Linked DNA regions of Zea mays. The main gene of each other region encodes a partner of the protein of the gene in region 2 in a complex. Links are inferred from orthologs where the notes say so. Each region holds a gene or a part of one and is shown on either strand. Other genes may lie near its edges.

Region 1 (7,863 bases), on a different chromosome or scaffold from region 2:
AGTATTAATTGGAATTAAAGTAATTAATCATGCAAGCATCAGTGTCAAATATTTATAGAGTTCACTGTTACATACATCTTAAATCAAATAGCAGGCCAGATAACCCAATTGAAGTAGTACAAATTACAAATCCAAGTGATCCAAAGAAGTACCAGGGGCGAGAATAAATAAAGAGCCTTCAATAGAAAATACCTATCAAGTGGATCCATTGCAATGCAATAACACCCTGCTGTATGAGCATTCAGCTTGCAGGGCTTTAAAAACTCAAGATCCTTAACCACCTCAACGTGCCCTGCATGACCAATAGACCATGCGGAAACATTAACTGATACAATATGGTAGCACTAGAAATCTGCCAAAATGTAAATACAGTGTTTATTTATTCAGTATTATTAACGTGAGCTTGGAGAAAGCATTTAGTATCCTACCTAACCCAGTAGTAATGAAGAATAGATCTCCAGCTTTATTCCAAGCAATCTCATTCATCTGAGGAACAAAGCAATAATGCAAAGTTGCAAACATTAAACAGTGAAAGCAATATTTTTCCTTGAACACACATGTGTATCAGCATTGAGGGAGAGGCCAAAATGACAAATCAGTCCTCCCTCCCCCCCCCCCCCCCCCCCCAAAAAAAAAAGTGCAAAGTTGCAATGAAGAATAGATCTCCAGCTTTATTCCAAGCGATCTCATTCATCTCAGGAACAAAGCAATAATACAAAGTTGCAAACATTAAACAGTGAAAGCAACATTTTTCCTTGAACACACATAATGTGTATCATTGCATTGAGGGAGAGGCCAAAATGGCAAATCAGTCCATCCCCCCACCCCCAGGTCTGAGTAGGTGGCTGAGTAGCAGGTCCTAAGTTTGACTCCCTATGACAGCAAATTTTATACTGGGGTGAAAAAAAAACCTCATCTGCCGAAAGGTTCATGATCAGCAATACACAAATTAAAATAAAGTATACGAGCGAAAGGGCCTCTAGCTGAGTTAGCTAGGTGGTTTGAGTTCGATTCCCCATGAGAGCGAATTTCAGACAGTGTTAAAAAAATCCTCTTGTCTGTCCCATGCCAAAATATAGGTGTAAGGCTTGGTCCTGGTCGTGGTCGTTCTTACATGGACTATGGTGCCACTGTGTATGGGTGGAGCACTGGAGCAGGTGTCCGGAGGTTTTCTCAACATGTGTGAGGTCTTCTTCTTAATACAATGTATGGGGGTTGTCTTATCCCCCGCAAGTCAAGTTTTAAAATAAAGTATATGTTCAATTATTTGCTAAATTCATACAGCAGTACCCATTTACTCAAAAAACATCCATACATCAAATTGTCTCAGACAAGCACACAAGAACAGTGCTGCTCATTTTATTTCTACAAGGCGAAAGGGTCTCTAGCCGAGTTGTTTAGATGCTCTGAGTAGCACTCCTCAGGTCCTGGGTTTAACTCCCCGTAGGAGTGAATTTTCAGGCTGTGGTTAAAAAAAACCCTCGTTTGTCCCACGCCAAAGCACAGGTCTAAGGCCCAGCCCCGGTCGCAGTCGTTCTCACATGGGCTACGGTGCCGCTGTTTATGGGTGGAGCAGGGGTTCGAGGGTTTTCTCGACCTGCATGAGGTCTTCTTAATATAATGTCATGGGGTCTTAATATAATGTCGTGGGGCGGTCTTACCCCCTCCAGGTCGAGTTTTTATTTTATTTTATTTTATTTCTACCGACATGTATATGTGCATCCTAATCCAAAGAACAGTTGGATCAAACAAAGAGTTGTTAGAAAATGATTCATATATCCAAGCTTCAATTTATAATTACCTCGTAAGTAGACTTGTGTTTCTTAGCAACTTTAAGTGTCCTAACATCCAATATCGTCAGCTCATCCTCCTACAAACCATAACAAAACTGTTATTGTAGACATATAAATATATAATTTGAAAAAATTAGAGTTTCAGTAATTTGTAAACATCATATAGATACAGTTTTATTAACCTTATATGATTCCCCTCCCCCCTCCCCCAAAATGCATGTTTTTCACAAATTACTTAAATTATTTACATAGATTTCTCAAGCTCAAGAATATTTATCTATAACCAAACAGAATAAAACATGTCACAGCTCCATCTAATTGATTAATTAATATGCCTATATGTACAACTTTAGGTGCATAATCCAATTCTATATTCTATATTGTTATGATACTGCCATACTGGTACAGGATTCAGCAATGCAAAACTGTAGGACTTCCAGAAAAGAAACACCAAAATAGCAATATGGCTGAACTTTTTTAACGTACTTGCTGAAAAAGGTATAAGCCAAAAGTGACAGTAGAACAATCCATCTTACTGTAAATAAATAAACCTAACCACATTAATATAGGTCAGTTTTCTAAATGTATCCATTCTTGGCATTAGCAGAGAAAAGTTAGGCAGTACAAACCTTGTTTCCAACAGCTATCTGAGTGCCATCATGTTTATATGTGATGTTGATGTTTTCTCCACTAAGTTCAACAACTTGACATTTTCCACCTAAAAAGACACAAAGAAGCATTGACGAGAAGATAAAATCATTATAACTTGATTGACAGAAACTACCACCAAGAGTCCAAGATAGAACAAAAAATACAACATATATCATCTGAAAGCCAGATGTCACATATGACAAAATAGCTTCCAGATAAAGTTATTACATAATAGATCTTTCCACATCAAATTTGTTGTAAATGTGGGGTAATGTAGGAAATAACAAAGGGCCTGTTTGGATCTTATCAGATTCCAGGTTCGAGCCTGTAGAAGCTAGGATGGTCTCCAAACACCCACCATCTTCACAAGCCCGCTTCCACAATCTCAAAAGCTGAATGAACTTCGCTTCTACCAGCTTATAGAAATTTATATGGATCCAGATGCAGTCAAAATAAAAGATGTATTTCATAGATTTTAAGAAGTATAATGCTAAATGCATTATGAAATGCTAAAGAAAAACTGTGCTTTCTAGCAACATCATGGATGAACTGTGCTACTTACTTCGAGCATCCCAAAGACGAATAGATTTGTCAGCAGCTGCAGTAGCAACTGTATCAGGATGATTTGGATCCCAGCAAAGCTGATCTACACTATCTGTGTGGCCTTTCAGTTCAATATCTTTAACCTTAGACTGTAACAAATTAGCACAAGTTCCCATTTAGATCTTTCAATGGTATAGAAACATACGCTGAAATTACACTCTCTGGCTCTCTGCTACCAAATAGAAAAGCATAGAAAGGGCTATTATTAAGAATCAAGGTAATATACTCTAGTTAAAAGTTATTCAAAACTCTACAGCTTACTCTGAAGATTCCATCGGTTCAGAATAAAACCACGTCTCGTGCTACAAATTATGGTAAAGGTTTCGTTGCACTATAAGAACATTATATGTTGAGTTACACCACAATAACTGATAAACTGAAAAGTAAATTATATTGCGCACAAGCTAAAGAAACAGGAATATTACTGTAAAGTACCTGTCACAATTTCTGCAATAGCCAAAGCTTGAAGTTAAAAGGGAGGTGCAGATGAGAAGCATTTGTCCCTCTTTGGCATATCACGCAAACTAATGCTTTCTTAAGTTCAATGTCATAACTTATTATCTAGGTTCTATAAGATAGGGAATATACCAGTTATGCAGATTTTCAAAATTTACCAAACCGATCATTATCTTAATAAGAAAACAGTGGGGAGCGTATCCCATTCTGTAAAGATAAATTTGGTACCAAGGACAGAAGGAGAGAAAGTTACATGGACATGTGGATCAATGCTCCAGACACGTGCGGTATGATCGATCGATCCTGAAGCAAGCTTTGTGCCTAGGCAGTTCCATGCTACAGAGTGCACCTAATGATAAAAACTATCAGAATGGTGAACACAATGATAAGATTACCAAAGAAATGCATAAAACAAAGCAAAAATAAGAACCCACAAATCAATCTAAATTTTGTACCGACAAGTACTAGGGTAGAGTGGTTTTGCTTTGAAGATCGCTATGAGGAGTTAAGGACAATTAAGCAACACATTCAACATAATGTAAGAAACAAAGAAAAAACATCCTCAGAATGTCATATATTCATCCTGAAAGAAAGATCATTCCTTCTTATTTCTCCTCATTGCAACTTTACAACATGCCCTAAGATAATCTCAAATTTCTTTATAGAACCAGAGGAAAACTGCTCTTGCTCCCCTGCAAGGACAGGCACCACGGCCCCTTTGCTGCAACAAAGGACAACCAAAATAGATTGCCTATTGCAACTAAATTCATTTGCAACTAACTGTGGCTGCAGCAATATTTCGTTTTCATCATGCCTTAACATTGACTCCTTTCATGCTCTATATAAAGAGAAGAAATAGCTAAATCCCCTCTCCACGCTTATAGCTTCGAATCGAAAGCAAGATAGGTCCACGATCCCATCTATGTTCTCAGGAACCAAACCGGAAGGCCCAAAGATTGTTACTTCCGCACCTTGTTTCATCATTCTGCATGCAAGGCCGGAATTTAGGGCCTCACCCTACGAATTGCAACCCTAATGATTGGAACTTCGAAACCTTTCTTCTGGCGAGATTCTGGGTTTTATAGGGGCTCAGAAGAAATTATAATGGGATATTGGGGAGGCGTTGAGAGGTATTACCTTCTTCTTGTGGCCGTAGTATTCCCTCGACACCAGGTCCCTTAGATTCGCCCCAGGGGTCGAGCCGCCGCCGGCGGCGGCGCCACCGCTGCCCTTCCTCTCCTCCTCTCTGCTCTCCATGCGCTCTCGCCCCGTTTTGTCCGGGAGGGGAGTAATCCAATTCCAATCCCAAAGTACACAAACTAGCCCATGAAGAGATCGGGCCAGGCCTGATGGGCTAGGCTACATTAAAACATTCAGCAACTCAGGTCCTGTTTGTTTAATATGATCTAGGCCCATGATTCCATAAGCTACCAACCTTCATTTTGAAAGAAAAACCTATTCCTTAACTGTCACACCCGTTTCTTTGAGACAGAGCCGGGTGCATAGCATATGTGTGCCAGGATTTATTTTCACACATATATTGACATTACAAGTGTAATATATTAAAAGAATGATACATAAGAGCGTAAATAAAGATTATATTAACATGTTACACTTCGAACAGACATAATGTCTTAACCTTTATTCATCAAAGTACAGCGAAACATGGACATCCATCCACAGGAAGATGACCGGGGGTATCAATAGACTAGCATCCATGGAGCTCAGCATCATAACTTCATCTGCAAACTTCTGATCAAAATTTAAGCAAGGGTGAGCTCACTTATGGTCAGGGCTCAGCAAGTGGGGGAAAATGCAAGGTAACAAGGTAAGGCTAAAGTTAAATGCGATTGGCATTTTAGTTGGTCAACATTTTATTAACAACACTTGTCTTACTAATAAGTGTGAATCCCAAGTATTCCCATTAAACAAAGGTATAAGAGTATATCAAAAACACTTAAGTGAAACCACTTAAGCAAACCATTGGCAGATCATCGGATCTCGATTTATTTCCATCTTCAAGTTCAATTATCATGTGAGGAGTCTAGGCTGCTCTTAACCGTGAGCACAGCTGATATATCAGTTTTACACTCTGCAGAGGTGGCGCATCTTTACCCATGAGTCACGATCCCCTTCTAGCTTGGGTTAGCTAGACCTGTATTCACTTCCGAGGTGAATGGCTAAGGTCTCACTACGAGGCTTTTCCCTAGAGTCCTCATTATGCAAATGCTGGAAATGGTCAAACTGCATAGAGCACATCTAACGTAACCAACTTATAGTCCAGTCTGCAGGGTAAAGCTTTGGGAATTATGCATGTATCCAATCTGTCTGAGCCAGAAATATAAGCGCTTGCCAGATGCCCCCGTTCCGGTCGACCACGACCAGCACCCAACATAAGACTTCCCTAGTTATTTAGCCAAGGGCGTCCCATACCACCCTCATGGTAGCACTGTTTTCCCGGGTGGTCACTTCATGTTCCAATTAAATCATATGATCTTGCTTAATCGTCGGATTAGCAACAATAATGTAAACTTACCAATTGGAACCTTAATATCACAAATCGGAGTGACTGCATAAAGTTAAGTTGTAGCAATAGCATAGCTACGAAGGTAAAGTATAATACCCAAGTTTGATCAAGGAATATGGTAGAAAAGGTTAGGTGTATCCGAATAGGTAACCCATCAAATTATGCATATATATCTAAGTTCTTAAAACCTGACCCGGTTTGAAACACCGACCGCATTTCACGGGTTCGGCACCTAACGTTTACTGACGCGTGGCAGTACAGCATCGGACGCGCCAACATGTGCCCCCCTCGTGCCCTGCCTTGCCTGTGTCGCCAATGCATGCTTTCTCTCTCCTCGTGTCGCGCTCCCAGACACCGCTACAGTGCGCACCCACATGCTACAGAGCTTGGTGTCCGGTGCAGAAACCAGCTCAGGTCAGGCCTTGCCTTTCGCCGTTCGGTCGCCGCGCATCCGCTATAGCGTCGCATCTGCCAACTATAGTGACCAACGTCTGTTGCTGGCAGGTGCTCAGGTCACGCCTCGCAGGTCGCCATGCCGTCGCGGCACGCGGAGGCATGGGCACGGGTGTATGGTTGTCCTTCAGTCAGGCGAAGGTCGCATTCGACCGCGAGCCCTAGCCTCCGCTTGACACCATCCGTGATTTGTCCCCATGGAGGCTGATTTGACGCTGCTGTTGTGCCCCCTGCTCTAGCGCGGACCACAGGCAGCTTCCACTTTGAGAAGATGTGTTGGGGTTCGTCCTCGCCAGCCCTGAACGTGACTGTCCTCTCTGACCACGACGATGCGCGCCTTGACAACAACCCCACGTCTAAGCAGTGTCGCGGCATGGACACAAGGTTCGTACTTTCTTCCCTTTTATTATCTCCTCCTCAGTCCCCCTCATCCTCAATTCGCGTTTTTGTGCCCTACAACTGAAGTTTCCCCCAAAATCGCCTTCCTTAGGCCTGCGATTTTCCATTCTTTGTGTGTCGTATCCACCGTCGCCAAGGGATTTGCCTGATGTGGTGCTCGTAGCGTTCATGACCTATCTCTCGAGAAGGCCTCCCTGGGTGCAGGTTCATTTCCATTCTCATGTTAGTTCGCTTGCCAATTCAGAGCTGCCTTTAGGATTTCTCATGCATGTTTACTAGAACTGGTAGATTAGTTCATCTGCTGCTACTGCCATTGTTTCCTCTAGAGTTCAGTTTTTTGGCTTTGTATGCTTCGTTCGTGCCAGGAGCTTAGGGAGGCTACAATTTGTGAAAAAATGCAATTTCATCCAGTAGTGAATCAATCTGCATACAATTATTACCTCCATTTGTCTGCTAGATAAAGTTGTCCTTGGCTTTGATTTTTTAGATTGCAGGGTACATACACTTATTTCAAAAGAAAAAGGATTTCTCCATCACGAACAGTCTGATGCTTTGCCATTCCCTCAGGATGTAAAAAAATGTTTTCCTCAGCTTGAAGAGAAATTATGCTTTGTCAATCGCTTTAACAACTAACTAATTTAGGACCCCCTTCTTCGAGTTCTATTTTTTAGTGTTTTCTCTTTCTGAAGTGAAATAAATATCATGTCTATTTTTTGTAGGACTCGTGCACTCGAAATCTATAGCTTTTAGAGTCTTTGTTGTGCAAATCTTCTTACAAAACCTATGGTTCTCTGGAACACTCTTTAGCATACAAAATTTTTTATGAAGGTTGTCTGATAGACAAAGCTATCGGTGACCCTTTTCTTGCTTCTTTGTAAATGCAGAGTATGCCAACTTTTGTCAAGAAAATAAAAGTCAGTCATCACAAAGCAACCCACTACTTAGTCATTCCCTTATAGTATAAAGCATAGAAATATTCTT
Region 2 (7,925 bases):
TATCTTAACCTGTGATAAGTCTTAATGTCAGAAGCAAGAGCATGGAGAGATGCATGAAGGCTTAGAACAAATAGTGATGACATAGTTTACCTTGGCTTCCAGCATGACTTTTAGACCATTCTTCATAGTTTTACTCAGGACCATGGTGAATTCCTTGGAAGCATACTCCTCCCAGAATCTGTCTCTAATCGGGCTAGTAGCTTTTTCAGTTTCGTCAAGAATGCAGGGCTGGTCCTCCAACTCGCTGTCGCTATACATCAAGAGATCAAGATCGTCCTCATTTCTACCAAAACTTCGTGAGATGCTTAGCTTAGATGGTGTTGCACTCTTTGATATAAGAGATAAGCCTCTAGAATGGCTCCGGATCTCAGCTGACACCTCAGGTTGCAAAATTGTAGAACCATTTGGCTCATTCTCAGCAGGAATAACAACTGGAAGCTCCCCATCCTCCCTGATACTCTCAGTTTCTTCCCAGTTTGTCACAGATCTCTCTACATCACTGTCAACATTGCTTGCAGCACCACTTAGCATCAAAATAGAACGAGATGACTCAGGATAACTTGTCAATGACCAACTATGTAGACTGCACAGTGGGTTGCGTGATGCCCATGGTGCATTCTTATGTTCTATTCGAGGCCACTTCAGCTTTGTCAAATAATCAAGTTGCCACCTGTAATCAAAGAGACTCGAAAACTTCAAAGGGATGCTACCAATCAAACAGGCCATGTATATAACAGTCATGAATAACATTATAATGAAGGTCGCCAATAATTAGCTTTGAATCAATATGTAGAGAACATATGAAGAAGATATAAATGGTATGTTTCACAATTTCTGCCTGGTAAATGATTCATAGTATTGCCATAACTCAGAATGACATGTGCAATGAAGCAAAAGCATCATTAGCTCAAAATCGTCAGTCAAATTACACGGTCACTCTCAGGCTAATCTGCCATCCGGTTTTTTTCATCGATGTCCCAAACAGCAAAAAACATAGACCAGTGACTCACATAAGAGCCATCTGTGCAACTTTCCGCAAGCGGATCCTCTGCAAAATAGTCTGTGCACGGTTCTGCTGACGGTACAGAGCAAGCCCAGATGACAAATCAGCAGTGTTTAATGCTCTGCTAGAATCATCCCCAACAGATGGAGGCACTTCAGGCAAAAAGTCGATACCACCTAAATGTTGTGCCCACTTGTATGGCCTTGAATCCTTGTCGCTGAAGTTTGGAACCTCCCCAACATAAATCTTAGCCATCTGAGAAAATTGACAAGTCACTATTTCAGCTGACGTAAATGAGAGGCCCCAAGAAGATACTAGATACAGATGTAGTAACAAAACATATCCCTGCTAAAATCACATTAAAGGCCTGTGAGGCTGAAATAAACCAAAAACAGGTAGGTACATAAACAAACACCAAAACTTCCATAAGGATGGTGTAACTAGCAATCAAAACCATCTGCTTCGAATTAAATTACATACCTGGTGAGGCAGATCTAAACCAGTGTCATCTGGAAATAGGTTGGACAAGATATTACTGTCCAGACCCTCTGAATCTTCAATTCCGACACAAACAACATTCAACTTTGCCAAGTATTCAAACCTCAGGGTGATGAGTTTACGGCGTTTGCTACCAGAATCTTCAGTATCATATACATGAAGTATAATTTTAAGTGGGTGAAGTTGATAGGCCACTGCTGGATTATTAGCTTCCTTCACCACATTCTTTTTGGATCTTGATCTTCTTCTCTGAGCATCTTCTTCATCATCAATCACATCATCATCCATTCTGTTGTCGCCACTTGAAAGAGTGCCTGCTACAAGATACATATGAGACACACTAATTTCCAAGCCTGCCATGAAGCTTTAAGAACAGAAGATCCAGCAATGGACAAAAGATTACTTATCTCTAGACTCTGGTTTAAAAAGATGAATAATTAAGCAACTATGCACTACAAGAATGCTGTTATCAGTTAGGAATATTAAAATAGACCACAACCTACAGGAAAAGATTGCTATGCAGCAACACTAAACACAAGCTGTTTGGTTTACGTTAAATGTCCCAAAGCACCAAGCCACCAACCTCAACACGGTAACCTAAAGAAAGAATTTATAGAGACTGTACCATCAATCATAGGTTCTTATGAGGACATCATTGATTCTCTACATAAAAACAAGAATAGAGAAACACAGAACAGATAAACACAACTTTGCAAGGACACATAGCTGTGACATATTCCCTACATCTTGTGTTCACAGGCGCTTAAACAATTTTCACCAGGACCTCACAGCCGCAAAAACGCTTCAGTTTCAAGCAGTTGCCAGCTTGCATGCCACACAATATAACTGCATGCATGTGTCGCCATGCTTATTGCAACACGCATGCTCCCACAATGACCAGATTCCCGCCTGCACACCGCTGACTGGGTAAACAAGGAGTTACAATAACTGCATACAGGATTACAGGAAGAGTGGGTGCACGTAAACAGGAAACAACGCATGCAACTGCATGCAAATAGCTATTGCGCCTGTACATGCCGGATACTTTTCCAGACCCAGTACGCATGTGAATACCAGTCCTTCCATTCCCTTTTACCAAGCGTGATAAGGATGTTTATAGATACCAAGACCTTCAATCACATGCAAATCATATTAACTCACATAGTCATCTGTGTCCCTAACCACAAAGTCTAAGGGCATCTCCAACAATATGAGCTAGTACAAGCTCTAAGCTAGCAAACGTGGAAGAGAGAGCCAATAGCAATTTATATCATATTGTGTGAGAAAGAGGGGCATCGTGAAACGTGTGAGACTATCTCTTTACTCCACGCTAGCCTCTTGTCTTTTGCACTATTCAGCGAAATGGTCTCAACTAGCTCTAAGCTAGCCCATTGGGGATGCTCTAACCATTGTTCAGTTCCTGCTCAGCAGTATACAAGCCACGTTTGCATCCATGCCTTCATTCAATGAACCGAAGGTGCCACTACATGCATGGCATGCTTCAGCGCTGGGCTATTCACATGCATTAGACGTTTCGGTTTTTAGTGGTCTAATTAAGTGCCCTTGATACTCCAGCCCGTCCAGTATTATGGCCAAAATTAAAAACGAGAATAATCCTGGTATAACAGAACAGATGGAGTAGATGGAAGGAGTATCAAGCAAATGCATACGTACTGTTTTCCTTCTTGGCTTGTTGTTGAGCAAATATTTGGGCATCCTTTGTGCTTCCCGCGATCTCTACTTCAATATTCTCTCCAAATGCTTCTTTCTGCCCTAGCAGCTGAGTGTATGCTATATAAAGCGGAGTAGGAAGTAACTCAGCAGCATGGTGCTGCTTTAGTTTCTTGGTATGTTGCATCCCCAACTGTTGCTGCACTGGCAGTGATGCTTTCTTCAATGATTTCAAATGTGATGGCAGGCTTGAAAGAAACTTTTTCTGATTAGCAATTGTCTCCAGCAAGCTGCCCCTCTGTTGTCCTAATTTCTCATGTAGCTTGCATAACTCTTTCCTCTGGTTTACAATTTAAAATCTATTTTAGAAGCCAGCAATGAAATCATGGAAACAGCGCAAATGAGAGAACGCTAGCATCACCTAATAGAGTATAGAACTACTGTCCTTAAAATGTTCAAACCGTGTGCGGAAATAAATAAAAGAAATATAAAAGGTGCAACACAATAGCAAAAGAATACATGTGACTGGATGGTGATCAACTTAAGACATGAGAGCAAAAGTGATGGTAAACAACCTGAGCACAATGAAGAATATATGTGCAGTCTTCTTAAAAATAGATTATAGAAATTTTCATTATGCTACAATTATTATTAGGTAATACTTAATAGTGATACAAATAATCCAAATACTATAGTAAGTGCAAAACTCAACTAGCCTCCTAGGAATAAGATGTAAATTTTAAAAGAAGTTGAAGCAGAGCACAATATAATTCAGCAAAATATGTGTGATACGATCAGCTTATCAAGCCAATAGCCAACAATAAGTTTGTCAGGTGACTGCAAATATTTTAGTAAGTTTCATAGAATTTGAAAACTAAACGGAGTTCAAGCACAGCAGAATACAGTTTATCCAAAAATGCGTGAAAAATCAGCTTGTCAAGAAACAATACACCAGATGATTTGCATCAAAAGCAAGCGGTGGTGTAACTTCATCCACTATCGAGTATAGTTCTAAATTATAAATTCTCCAAAAAGAATCATGTATGCTAGGCTTAAAGTGGTATGTAATTTACCAACAGCTACCATAGCTCAAAATGTAGGCTGTTCATATTTAAGTCCCTCAAACAGGGAACCAAACAGACTAACAGAGTACAGCAAATTGGCAGCAGGTAGAGTTCCATAGTTCCTACAGGGTTGCAAAATATAGCAATACGCAACCTGGACGAGCTCAAAGTTGAGGCGCTTGAGCATGAGGTCGTGGGAGGCGTCGGCAGCGAGGGTCTTCTCAAGGATGTCTGCGGGCGCGGAACGCTGGAACTCCTCCTCGGGCACAAGCTCTATCCCCGGATACTTCGTCTGAAAGTCAAGACACGCTCTTATGGCCTTCACGTAGTGGTTCTTCTCGTACAACAGGTTATGCAGCTGCAGCGTCGTGGAGTCCACCGGCGCCTTCGCGGCCTCCGTCTCCGCCTTGACCTTGTCCTCCTCCATCAGTATCTCTCTGTTCACCTGCGCGGATCAAACTCAACTTAGCACAGCAGATCTACATGTAGGGTTTTGGATGTGGGGTAGGTTTTGGAGCGCGACGCCGACGTACTTGGCGTAGCGTGACGAGGTGCAGAGACATCTGAGTGACAAGCTCGCGGAGCTCCGACTTGGGGGCGCCGTCTTTCTTGATGGCGAGTATCCGGGCTGCGACTTTCTCGATGGAGGCGCGTGTCTCTGCCAGGAGGTCGTGAGGGGAGCGCAACTTGGTGGCCGGAGAGGTAGTCAGCGTCCTAGCCGGCGCGTCGACGTCCATGGCATCCGCAGTCGGCGCCGCCGCCATCCGTTCGGCCGGCGTGGGGAGAGACGACGGCCTTGGTGATGAAGTGGGTGGATCGGAATTCGGAAGTGTGTCGGATCCGTCTTTGGGATATTTGGGCGGCTGGGCCGCTGTTTCCGAGACAAGTTACAAGTTAGAACATCTCTCGGCCCACACGTCTACTGTAGGAAGTAACTTCTTTATTTTAGAAAAAAAACTAATCTGAACTCTGCAAGAGTTTTATCCTCAAGTAATCCTATTACCAAATCAGGTTCTGACTGTACTTTTATAAAAAACTCAAAAATCGAAACCTAGTGGCACATCAATTTTTAAAAAGAAATTTCATTTCAACCTCTAAGGCTATCTCTATAAGCTTACACATCCTCATACATATATTCAAACTTCACTCTATGAACGAGATAGTCTGCAGTGCAAAATAGTATAAAATAGTGCAAAACAGTATTTTTAGGTGACCATAGGGGTGAATTGTTGGACACGGTCTGAGGACCGTTTGTATCGCTTCATTTTGAAAATAATTGGAATCTACTCAACAGAGTCACGGTTATTCATCCTGTTTTTAACCAAAAACAGAGTCACGGTTACTCATCCCGTTTTTTAACCAAATTTTCGCTCGTTTCCGAAAACAGAAAATTAACCAAAATTTGTCTGGATTTTACATTTTCCTAAATGGTTTACGTTTTCAAATTCAAAGAATCAAAATCCGCATTTCTTGACTAATTTCCTATACATATATGAATAAAAACAAGTACTCATGAATGGTGATTGTAGTTCACCTAGTAATCCTTGCCATACGTATGTAGGTATTGGTCACGTCGAGGCGGATAGTTGTAACTAGAGATAATTGTCTGTGATTGCCATCATCAATAGGTCTGCAAACGAATGACATCGTTGTGGATGAGGTGTCCCATAACTTGGGAGGCATGCCTACCCCTAGCACCATATGCTCCAACATCACATTCACCTCTACCATTCCCGTGGCTACCATCGTCGTCGTCTCCATCATCCCCATGGCTACCATTATCATTGTTACCACCATCACCTTGATTATTGGTTTTCTTCAATGTATGTGTATATATTTGATGAGTAGTCTGTGCAAGGGATATATATGTTATATGAAAATTATATGGGCAGTGCGTGTTAATTTATGTATACTTGTGTATTTTGGATTTTACAATGACATGTGTAAATGTATATATACACCACACTAAAATGTACTAAAAATTAAACTTTTACATGGCTAAATGATCTTTTTGATGAAAAAGAACCGAAATCCGGTTGAAAAGCACTAGTGAATCGAAATTTACACAAAAAATAATTCACGTATAAGTCTGAAAATGACAAAAAACACCAAAAATCGTTGAAAACTTATCGAGGTTTACATCTGAAAGCTCTCTTGTGGGTTTTGGTGGTTTGGTTGACAACCCAATTAAAGGACTAACCAGTGTGCTAATTGTTGAACAGGTGCTTAATGCAAGGCTAATAGGGTTCAATACAAGTGAACAAGTGTGATGGTCCAAAGACGGGAATATCTATAGACAATGGACATCACATGTAAGATGGACAATGCTTAAGTGAGACTCGGTGTGCGTAACTCAGATACAACCGATCAAGCCAAGGATGGAGGCAAGAAGAGCTTCGAGGTACCGATTGCACGGGAGAAGGTCAAGGAAACCGAGGAACCCAAAGCCACGGGTGAAGAAGACTTGCAAAGTAAAGGTTGATCGAGCTAATAAGAGTTATGGTGCATCAAGGATCACTACATAAGGACATGACTTACAACCAACGAGATAACGTCTACAATATGTGGTGTAAGTCATAAGGCTCAAGATCAAACTCGATAAATGAACAAGGTCACTAGAAGGAGTAGTGTTAAAATCAGAACTGGAAGCAGTCCAAAAGAGCTAAGTTTACTTTGACCTTTAGTATGGGTTGTTTATGTGTTTGTATATGTCCTATGTAGCCTTTGCAAGGTGTTGGAGCTTATGTGTATTAATCTAAATCAAGTCAAGTTGACTTGATGGTTCTGAAGCTCTGTCTAAAGTAGATTATAAATCCTGGATTGAAGAGGTATGATCACAAGACTTAGTCAATTGTTTTAGTGGCTAACTATGTGTGTCTAGGTGCCAGGGATCATCCCAAAAGAAGACAAATTGGAGTAAATAAGTTGCACCAGTCTGGGAGCACCAGACAGTGTCTGGTGCCCAGGTTGATGCCTCGGTGAACAGACCGTTCTTGGGAAGTAGTTGGGGGCGCTGCAACTATAAATCATTGGACTGTCCGGTGTACACGAGACTATTCGGTGCGCCAACCGCACGCCTGCCCAACAGTCGGTCGCGTAATCAACGCCGGTCACGTCAGCCAAACCAACGGTTATCAAGTCGCACCGGACTGTCCAGTATGCCAAGTGGCCAAAGGGTGGAAATGGTCGGCTTCATCATGAAAGGAAATAAATCAGCTACGATCACTGCCCGGTGTGCACCAGACAGTCCGGTGCACACGCAGACAGGGAAGGTTGATTGCTTCCCATTTGAAGAACCAACGGCTAGGGGCTCCCTTGGGTCTATAAAAGGACCCCCTAGGCGTCCATCTACGTGTGTCGAAGACTCCCAAGTGCAGCAATACTTTGTAGACTCATTGCAAATCATTTTGCTCTCCCTCTCTTGCGTATTTCTCTCTAAGTTGTGTAGAGACACAATTATAAACCTTTAGAGAGAGAGTGTTGTTGAGAGCAAGATCAATATCTTGAGCATTGTTACTCTGTCGGTCCACGGGTTCGCTCAGACGGTCCGCGGTAGGCAGGCAAGATATATGTGTTTTTTGTACATGTTTATCCAACTAAATACAAGGATGTTGTTGGGGGACGTCTAAGAATGGGTCTAAACCTATCCCTATATATGAAGAGGCACAGCTGAAAGGGAATTAGGCTTA
Region 3 (7,852 bases), on a different chromosome or scaffold from region 2:
ATATAATTTGTGGGTTACTTGGTTCCTCAACTACTCAAGTGCTGCTCAATGGGTGCCCTGGCAATAAAATCCAACATAGAAGGGGGCTCAGGCAAGGGGATCCCCTCTCCCCCATGTTATTTATTTTAGTCATGGATGTCCTTTGCCTTCTATTTGCCAAAGCTGAAGAGACAGGGTTGCTGCAACAATTGTCCAACAGAAAGAAACTTCATAGAATTTCTATTTATGCTGACGATGTGGCCCTCTTCCTGCTCCCAACTCAGAATGACATTTCCACTACTCTGGACATTCTCAACATCTTTGGGAATGCCTCAGGTCTACACAACAATGTGCAGAAATCCAGTATTTATCCTATCAGATGTTCGGAGCAGACCATCCTGGAGGTTCAAAGCTTGTTACCTTGTGGGGTGGAGTCCCTACCTTGCAAATACTTGGGTCTCCCTCTTTCTCTACACAAACTAACCAAACAGCAGCTCCTGCCCTTTATTGAGAAAATTGCAGATCTTCTCCCAAGCTGGAAGGCAGAGTTGTTGAACAAAGCTGGCAGAAGAATTCTAGTGCAGCATGTCCTAACTAGTATGACAATCTATACTGCAATGGCTATTGATTTTCCTAAGTGGGCTTTGGATGCAATTGATAAAATTAGAAGGGGATTCTTATGGAGAGGCAGAAAGGATGCTAAAGGAGGTCACTGTATGGTAGCCTGGGAAAAGGTTTGTAGGCCTCTACATATGGGAGGCCTCGGGATTTCTAACCTGACTAAGCTTTGTTGGGCTCTCAGAATGAGGTGGTTGTGGCTGCAAAAAACTGATTCTTCGAGGCCATGGGTGGACCTACCCATTCAGGTCCCAAGTATTGCCAGGTCCTTCTTCTCTGCAGTGTTGATGTCAGAGGTTGGCAATGGTGCGAATACTCTTTTTTGGGTGGATAAATGGATTAATGGGAAAAAGGTAGCTGATATTGCACCAAGACTGTTCTGCACCATATCAAAAAGAATTGCCAATAAAAGAACAGTGCAAGAGGCAATGGACAATAGGAGATGGATTAGTGATATTAGGGGCGCTCTCTCAGCAGGGGCCTTGATTGATTTTCTGCATCTCTGGGAAGCTTTAACGGATTTTCAGCTACATCCTGATATTGAAGACAGACACATTTTTTCCATAGCGCCAGATGGTAACTACTCAGCAAAAGTTGCTTATGAAGGGCTCTTCCAGGGATCGTGCTCCTTTCTTCACCACAAAAGAATCTGGAAATCCTGGATGCCACCCAAGTGCCATTTCTTCCTGTGGCTGGTGGCACATGATAAATGCTGGACTGCTGATAGGCTGCAGAAAAGAGGCATGAACCATCCGGCTAGGTGCCCTCTTTGTGATCAAGAACCTGAAAGCATTGATCACCTGCTGGTTTCCTGTGTGTTCTCAAGAGTTTTCTGGTATAGGCTTTTGAGAAAGTTTGGGTTACACAGCTTATCCCCTCAGCAAGTGGAGCCTTCCTTCCTTGGTTGGTGGGAGAATTCCTCGGCTCAGGTCCTCAACATGGGAAAGAAAGGACTGGACTCCCTTGTTGCTTTAGGGGCCTGGATGATTTGGAATCATAGAAACAAGGTGGTGTTCGATGGAAGGACCCCCTCTATCTCCTTCCTTCTTCAAGCTGCTGAGGATGAACAGGAGACGTGGCGGCTGGCTGGTGCCAAGGGGCTTTCCTTTTTGGCCAGCCAAACTACCTAGCTCCTAGGGCTGTAGTGTTTTTTGTCCAGTTTTATGGATAGCTTTGTGTATGCTTGTTTCTGGCCTCCATAAGGAGTGCTTGTACCTGGGTCCTTATGGCCCTTTATTTTCCCTCTACTTTAATATATGGGTGCGCAGTCCTCCTGCGCTCTTTCGAGAAAAAAAAAATACAATGCACAAGACAGGAAAGGATGATGGTTTGAAACCCGCACCCCAGATACGAGCTGTCCCATCCTCTGATCCTGTTACAACCTGATCAAAAAATAAGTCAGTTAGTAACATATCACATATTGTACATATTATAGACAAGATGAACATCAAATAATGGAAAGCCAAGATAATCAAATAACCTGGCGGTTTGACTCACGAACTGCAATGCTGTGCAAATAATCAGCATGCCCCTTGAATGTGATTTTACATTTACTGGTCTCCTGAGAGAAGCAGTCATGATTAGCATTAGTTTCAGATACCTTCTCAAGCACAGAGCATTGATATTATCCAAGCTTGTAATGCTAAAGACTCTAAAGCAGAACTGCAGTTCCTTCTATGTGTGTTCAATTTACCTTAAGAAAATACATACCACATCCCAGCAGTAAGCACATGCATCACCCGCTGCTGCCAAAATGGATCCATCCTGTTTGGAAGAATGATGATAACAGAAAATAAGATTTGTTGAACCAAGCAATATGCATGAGGAACGAAAATTTGGGACAGTCACACTTCCTGGAGGATATAAAAACATGAAAAGTTCCAGTTGTTAACCTGTTTATTAATTGCAATGGCATTGTTTTCAGGTACTGGAGATCGAGCACCCCAAGGACCCCTACAAAATTGCCAGCAGCAACAATGTTATTAAAGCTACGTTTAAACTATGTTTAAACGTCAAAACGCTAATTAGAGCTTGAAACCACGTTTTGTCGTTCTAAACTGTAAAACGCAGTGTTTTATGTGTTTTAGACCATTAGCTACTTTTGGGCCCAGTCTGTTAGTTAGGGTCCAATCTGGCTCATGGGTGAAGTTTTGATAAGCCACTAGCCTCTCTATTTTGGTATTTAACTTCATGTTATTGTCTGAAATTATGATATATTGGTATTTTTCCTATGTTGTTCAAAACTAAGTTTAAACTTTGTTTAAAAGTCAAAACTTCACCCATGAGCGTTTTATCGTTTTAATAACCTTGAGCAGCAACAATGCAAACAGGGTAAATTGGGGGGGGGGGGTGGGGGGGGCAGCTGCTGGAATAAACGGTGTAAACTGGAAGGTCTGAGATTGCAGTTTTATCACAGAATCCTTACTCGTGCTGAGGGTTGACCAAGTCAAGTGCTGGTTCCAGATGATCCCCTGTGAACAAAGGCAACAGAAAAATTGGTAAAAGCAATAACAATGACCAAAATGTAGAAGATGCACTAGGCAATTTTCGGCGCATTTCCACACAGATACTCGTTTGTTCTCCCTTTTCTCCTTTATAGGAAAAACAACATATGCTCGTTCCTTCCACCTTTTCTCATGTACGAAAAACAACAGATGCCTTGTTTCACTTTTTATCAATACAACTATACTGGTTATTAAAAAAACTGAAATAATATTAACTTGGCCTTCAAGGCGCAACACACAGAAAAACTACAAAAGATATTGATGCATCTTCATAGATAAAATAAGTAGCAACTATGAAACATTTTCACATGAATCATGCCTTGCACTGGCAAGATTCTAGATTTGTATCTATGCCAGTGCAGGGCATGATTCATGATTTCTCCTGCATCAAACCTACACCATTGTAAAAAATGTGCATATTTTTTCGGTGCACCTGTGCTAGATGCATCGCAATGCCCTAGTGGCCTGGTAAAGCATATGACCATTTATGAAAGAAACCACGTCAAAAAAGAATGGAAGTTCGAATGCAGCACCTTGCAGGGAGAGCGGGACAAGGCAGCTCTGCATCTCGTGCCACCTCCAACCCTTGATGCGGCCATCGTCCCCGCAGCTGCCACAAGGAAGTAAGCAGCCAAAGAACCGCACAACCATTAACCCATCACCGTCTCCAACCAAATGAAGCACATTGCCATGGGTAATATTGTCAAGAAGCATAAGAGCCTGTTTGGAAACTTTGGATACAAGGGCTAGTTGCTAGTGCTAAAGAATTAGCCAAAATTAGCTCTAGCGCATCCACCGAACAGGAGGGCAAATTGGTGGATTATTTTTTTAGCCAGGTCTTCAACTAGTTGGAGAAGTCAATAAGGATAAGAGCCTGTTTGGATACAAGGGCTAGTTGCTAGCGCTAAAGAAATAGCCAAAATTAGCTTTAGCGCATCCACCGAACAGGAGGGCAAATTGGTGGGTTAATTTTTTTAGCCAAGTCTTCAACTAGTTGGTAGCCAACTAGCTAGCTAACCACAGCTAATTTAAGCGAATTTTTAGCCTCAACTAGTAACTAGCCATGTGTATGAAACATGCCAAGTCAAACATTCTGTCAGTCACCTGAAGAGCAGCGGCTGCTGTTGATCGGGGTAAAACCTGACGTCGTAGGCAGGTCCGCTGTGCGCTTGCACGATGCAGACAGGATCTACCAGAGTGGCGGCGGTCTCCACCTGAGAACCAGACCAAGAAAAACTCACTCTACGCCTCTCTGGGCGTGCGTCACCAAAAAATCAGTTCTGGCCAAAGGGTACGAACCTGGGAGGTAGCGGAACATGCGGAGATGCAGGATGAAAGGGAGAAGGAAGCGAGGGAGCCGTCGCTGGAGGCGGCGGCGAGTAGGATGTCGGTATCCGGGTCGTCGCTGTGGTCAAAGAAGACGGCACGGAAGAGGGTGCGGGACGAGAGGTCGCGGGCACGGAGGATGCCGCGGCGGTACGATGACTCGTCCCACCGGCGCGCGTCCATCGATGCCGGATGGGACTGCGCCGCCGCCGTCGCCATGGCTGTCCTACTCTGCGCTGATGCGCTCTGCGCTTTTGCTTCGGGGAGCGAAGGGATCAGGGAAGACGGGGACAATTCCGAGTTCCCGACAGAAAAGTGAAAGCGACAGCGGGTTGGGCTGGGCTTCTTTCAACTAGAATTCCGCCGGCTTCTGGCCCATCTTTAAACTTTTCCATCAAAATGCTTTAAGCCTTTGTGGCACGCTCCCTTATGATTTTAAACAAATAAATTTATAAGAAAAAATATTTATATGGTTTTCTTGAGAACATCTCCCTTAGGAGTTATGCAATTTTTTAAAAATAAAATCTAGTCTAATTCACACAAAAATATGGTTTTGCTCGACAAAAATATGAAACAATTTTGAATTCTTTTTCTAGAATCTTTTGTGGAGTTATTTGAATCTTCTATGGATACATTATGGTGACATGGATTTTGTATAAGGCAAGGGCAAAGTGACTTCGACAATGTTATGAGTGTTATGTAATGACCTCATATGCAGTGCTTAGTTGATGAGCTAGTTAAGATATTTGTTATTGGTGACTTGTTGAAGCTTTTGTAAAAAAACGCAACTGGGCAACACAATTAAAGTAAAGTCTCTCTCTTTTTTATCTTTGATGGGTTCTAATGTACCATTAAATAACGTAGACGAAGCATGTATTCAATTTACAAGGGTCTACATTTTTCCTTTCTCCTTTATTGGATTAAACAAAGATGAGGAATACATAGCAGTTATGAAACCTTTGGAAGGTATTGAAGGTTTCTTAAACTGATTTAAGTGCTTGAAGATGACATACCTTCTAATACTCTTTGTGCACGAAGGTGCTACAGGCTTAGACATACAAGTGACCAACCCTTGTAACAGTGGCATTGTACACTTATTTATAAGATCAAGATTACACACATTCCAACTCAGAAAAAGAATGTCCACTCCTCTATATGAAGACTATGTACAACTAGAGACTAACATTATGTCTTTTTTAGGGAAGAAGTGTTGTATACACCTTTTCTTCCTCCTTCGATAACGTACTAAGGTAGTTCAATCCTATTAAAGTTTCATTTCTTCCTTCTCCTTTGGCTTGTCGTTTCTTGATGGAGAGCCGACCTAAGCCTCCGATTTAGACACATGGTTCGGAGGTAGCCAATTGAAAATAGACTAAAGCAACAATTTTCATCAAATATAGATATTCGACCAAAAGCTCTCCTCAACACTTCTCTAATCGTTGAGGTCACCCTTCTATATGAAGTCTAGTTCCTCCAAGTCAATTATAAGTATTATAGATAGAAGAATAACTACTATAAAATAAACATCATAATGAACCCATAAAATACCCAAATAACTTCAAACTGGATCTAATAATAGAGCATGTTTTAGTTAAATATAAATGTAGTTTTTTCTAATGATTTTTAAGGTTAAATTGGATTTGAGATTATTTATTTGTTAATTTTCTTTTCATGGACATCTTTTCCAAAAAATGACATTTGAACCTTGAGCTATGAGCATGTTCCGATTTATCACTAGGGTGATACCCATAGGCATTGTTTCCAATGGTTGTAGATACCAAATTAACATGTAGGTGTGAGTACATATATGAGGTTATACAAACGCATATGGATCATATGTCGATTCAGCTGGTGCTTCAAATATATAGTACAATGCTCGTGCGTTGTGACGACACACAAATTATTCGATAAAATGTTAGTGCACAACGATTACATGAAAACAAACAATACATATATTATAATTGATATCAATATCGCACATATTCTTATGCGACATGAATTGACAATTTCCAACCGAACCCTAGACACTTATACATGTTGCCCGCTAGAAATTCCTCAAACTACTAAACTAAGTAGGCAGTCCGAGATAACCATGGTGGAATAAGAGGCAAGTGATTTCGGGCCAATAAATTTGCACTATCGACCAACCCATGAATTCTAGAATATAAAAATATTACTCATTGTTACATCAACCGATAGGAATGAGAATACATCAGCTGATAGAAATGAAAATAAACATGCATATTGTATCGAGAACCTTATATACACAGGCCCAAACCATGGCAGGCTAATTCATTATTTTGTACACTTGCACACATTATATGGGAGTGAATTAAATTATCCTCACACACACTTACCTGTGTTCTTCCCAAATTTTCCACTTCTTATCATCCACTAAATCTAAGAACACTCGAACTTCTAAATTGTTTTCTTCCTAAATTGCAAACAAAACATTCCACATCATTGGTTATAATCACATGTATCAAATGCAGTTGCTAAAAAAGGAGTGACATGCATTAAAATAGTCTATAGAACACAAATGAAGTTATCTATGACAAGTGAGGAGGCTGTAAGTATAGCCTAATGTCCTAGCCAACATTTTTAAGTCTCCATTTCCAAGTTATAAGATATTTTGGTTTTTTTCTAGCCACATAGCTTGTGCTATGTATTTTGATAAAATATTGGTCATGGCAAGGGAACTGCTCTTCCATCATCTTAGGGTTTGTTTGTTTTTCAGCTTTTTTGCTGATTCTAGCTGTCACAAGCTGTCGCGGACTACCAAACGCTCAGCTTCTCAGTTCGCTTCTATGAGGATCGCTTTGATGAAAGTTGTTCAAAATTAACGTGAACACACAATCGGTCGAGTCGTCGCGACAGGAGGAATCCATCACTTCCTAGATCCTAAACCCCATGGACCCCTTCATTTTCCTTCGCATGTAATCCACATAATACTCAAATTCTCCTCACATCCATATTATCCCTACAATCAAATTCTCGTAAAAGCTCGTCAGAAAAAAACTGAAACAAACAGACCTTTAAGTAGTTCCACACTGGTTGCTATGTTCACCTCTCATTGCATGTGTAGTGCAAAAAATGATTAAATTCTAGGTTGGACTTATGTGACATAATAGAAAACTGTCTTTTCTAGATTTGAAAGACAAACACCTTTTATCTTTTCAGAAGACAAGGCACAATTGCTTATCTCTTCTTAACACGGTTCCTCCTAGGTGGTTTAGGATTACATTTAAGAAATAGGGTAAAAACCAGTATGCCCATAATTTAGGATTTTCGTATCAAAAAATTCCTGAAGGATATGATGCCTACTAAAAGTAGTCTAGAGGGGGTGAATAGGCTAAACCTGAAAATTATCACCAGAACCTTCGAGATAATGTTAAATCTACAGTTCAACTGGTGCAGGCCAGTTC

Evidence for each region.
Region 1: THO complex subunit 5B-like (region 2) and THO complex subunit 3-like share a complex: the UniProt entries of both Arabidopsis thaliana proteins name them as parts of the THO complex. The link is inferred for Zea mays from reciprocal best matches to the Arabidopsis thaliana genes THO5 and TEX1.
Region 3: THO complex subunit 5B-like (region 2) and THO complex subunit 6 share a complex: the UniProt entries of both Arabidopsis thaliana proteins name them as parts of the THO complex. The link is inferred for Zea mays from reciprocal best matches to the Arabidopsis thaliana genes THO5 and DWA1.

Annotation. Positions count from the first base shown.
Region 1 is NC_050102.1:86,886,351-86,894,213, reverse strand, and holds the start of THO complex subunit 3-like, read right to left. Parts: upstream 4,786-7,863; 5' UTR 4,761-4,785; coding exon 4,641-4,760; intron 3,853-4,640; coding exon 3,757-3,852; intron 3,137-3,756; coding exon 3,007-3,136; intron 2,512-3,006; coding exon 2,423-2,511; intron 1,871-2,422; coding exon 1,802-1,870; intron 487-1,801; coding exon 429-486; intron 293-428; coding exon 193-292; intron 1-192. UniProt on the Arabidopsis thaliana protein: Acts as a component of the THO subcomplex of the TREX complex which is thought to couple mRNA transcription, processing and nuclear export. Contributes to the integrity of the endogenous trans-acting small interfering RNA (ta-siRNA) pathway.
Region 2 is NC_050100.1:218,463,443-218,471,367, reverse strand, and holds the start of THO complex subunit 5B-like, read right to left. Parts: upstream 5,062-7,925; 5' UTR 5,001-5,061; coding exon 4,770-5,000; intron 4,682-4,769; coding exon 4,391-4,681; intron 3,513-4,390; coding exon 3,176-3,512; intron 1,819-3,175; coding exon of another isoform or gene 1,816-1,818; coding exon 1,484-1,815; intron 1,349-1,483; coding exon of another isoform or gene 1,259-1,348; coding exon 1,011-1,258; intron 671-1,010; coding exon 91-670; intron 10-90; coding exon 1-9. UniProt on the Arabidopsis thaliana protein: Acts as a component of the THO subcomplex of the TREX complex which is thought to couple mRNA transcription, processing and nuclear export.
Region 3 is NC_050102.1:102,980,626-102,988,477, forward strand, and holds the start of THO complex subunit 6, read right to left. Parts: upstream 4,786-7,852; 5' UTR 4,647-4,785; coding exon 4,401-4,646; intron 4,316-4,400; coding exon 4,206-4,315; intron 3,712-4,205; coding exon 3,635-3,711; intron 3,069-3,634; coding exon 3,023-3,068; intron 2,551-3,022; coding exon 2,490-2,550; intron 2,362-2,489; coding exon 2,308-2,361; intron 2,159-2,307; coding exon 2,078-2,158; intron 1,980-2,077; coding exon 1,940-1,979; intron 1-1,939. UniProt on the Arabidopsis thaliana protein: Acts as a component of the THO subcomplex of the TREX complex which is thought to couple mRNA transcription, processing and nuclear export.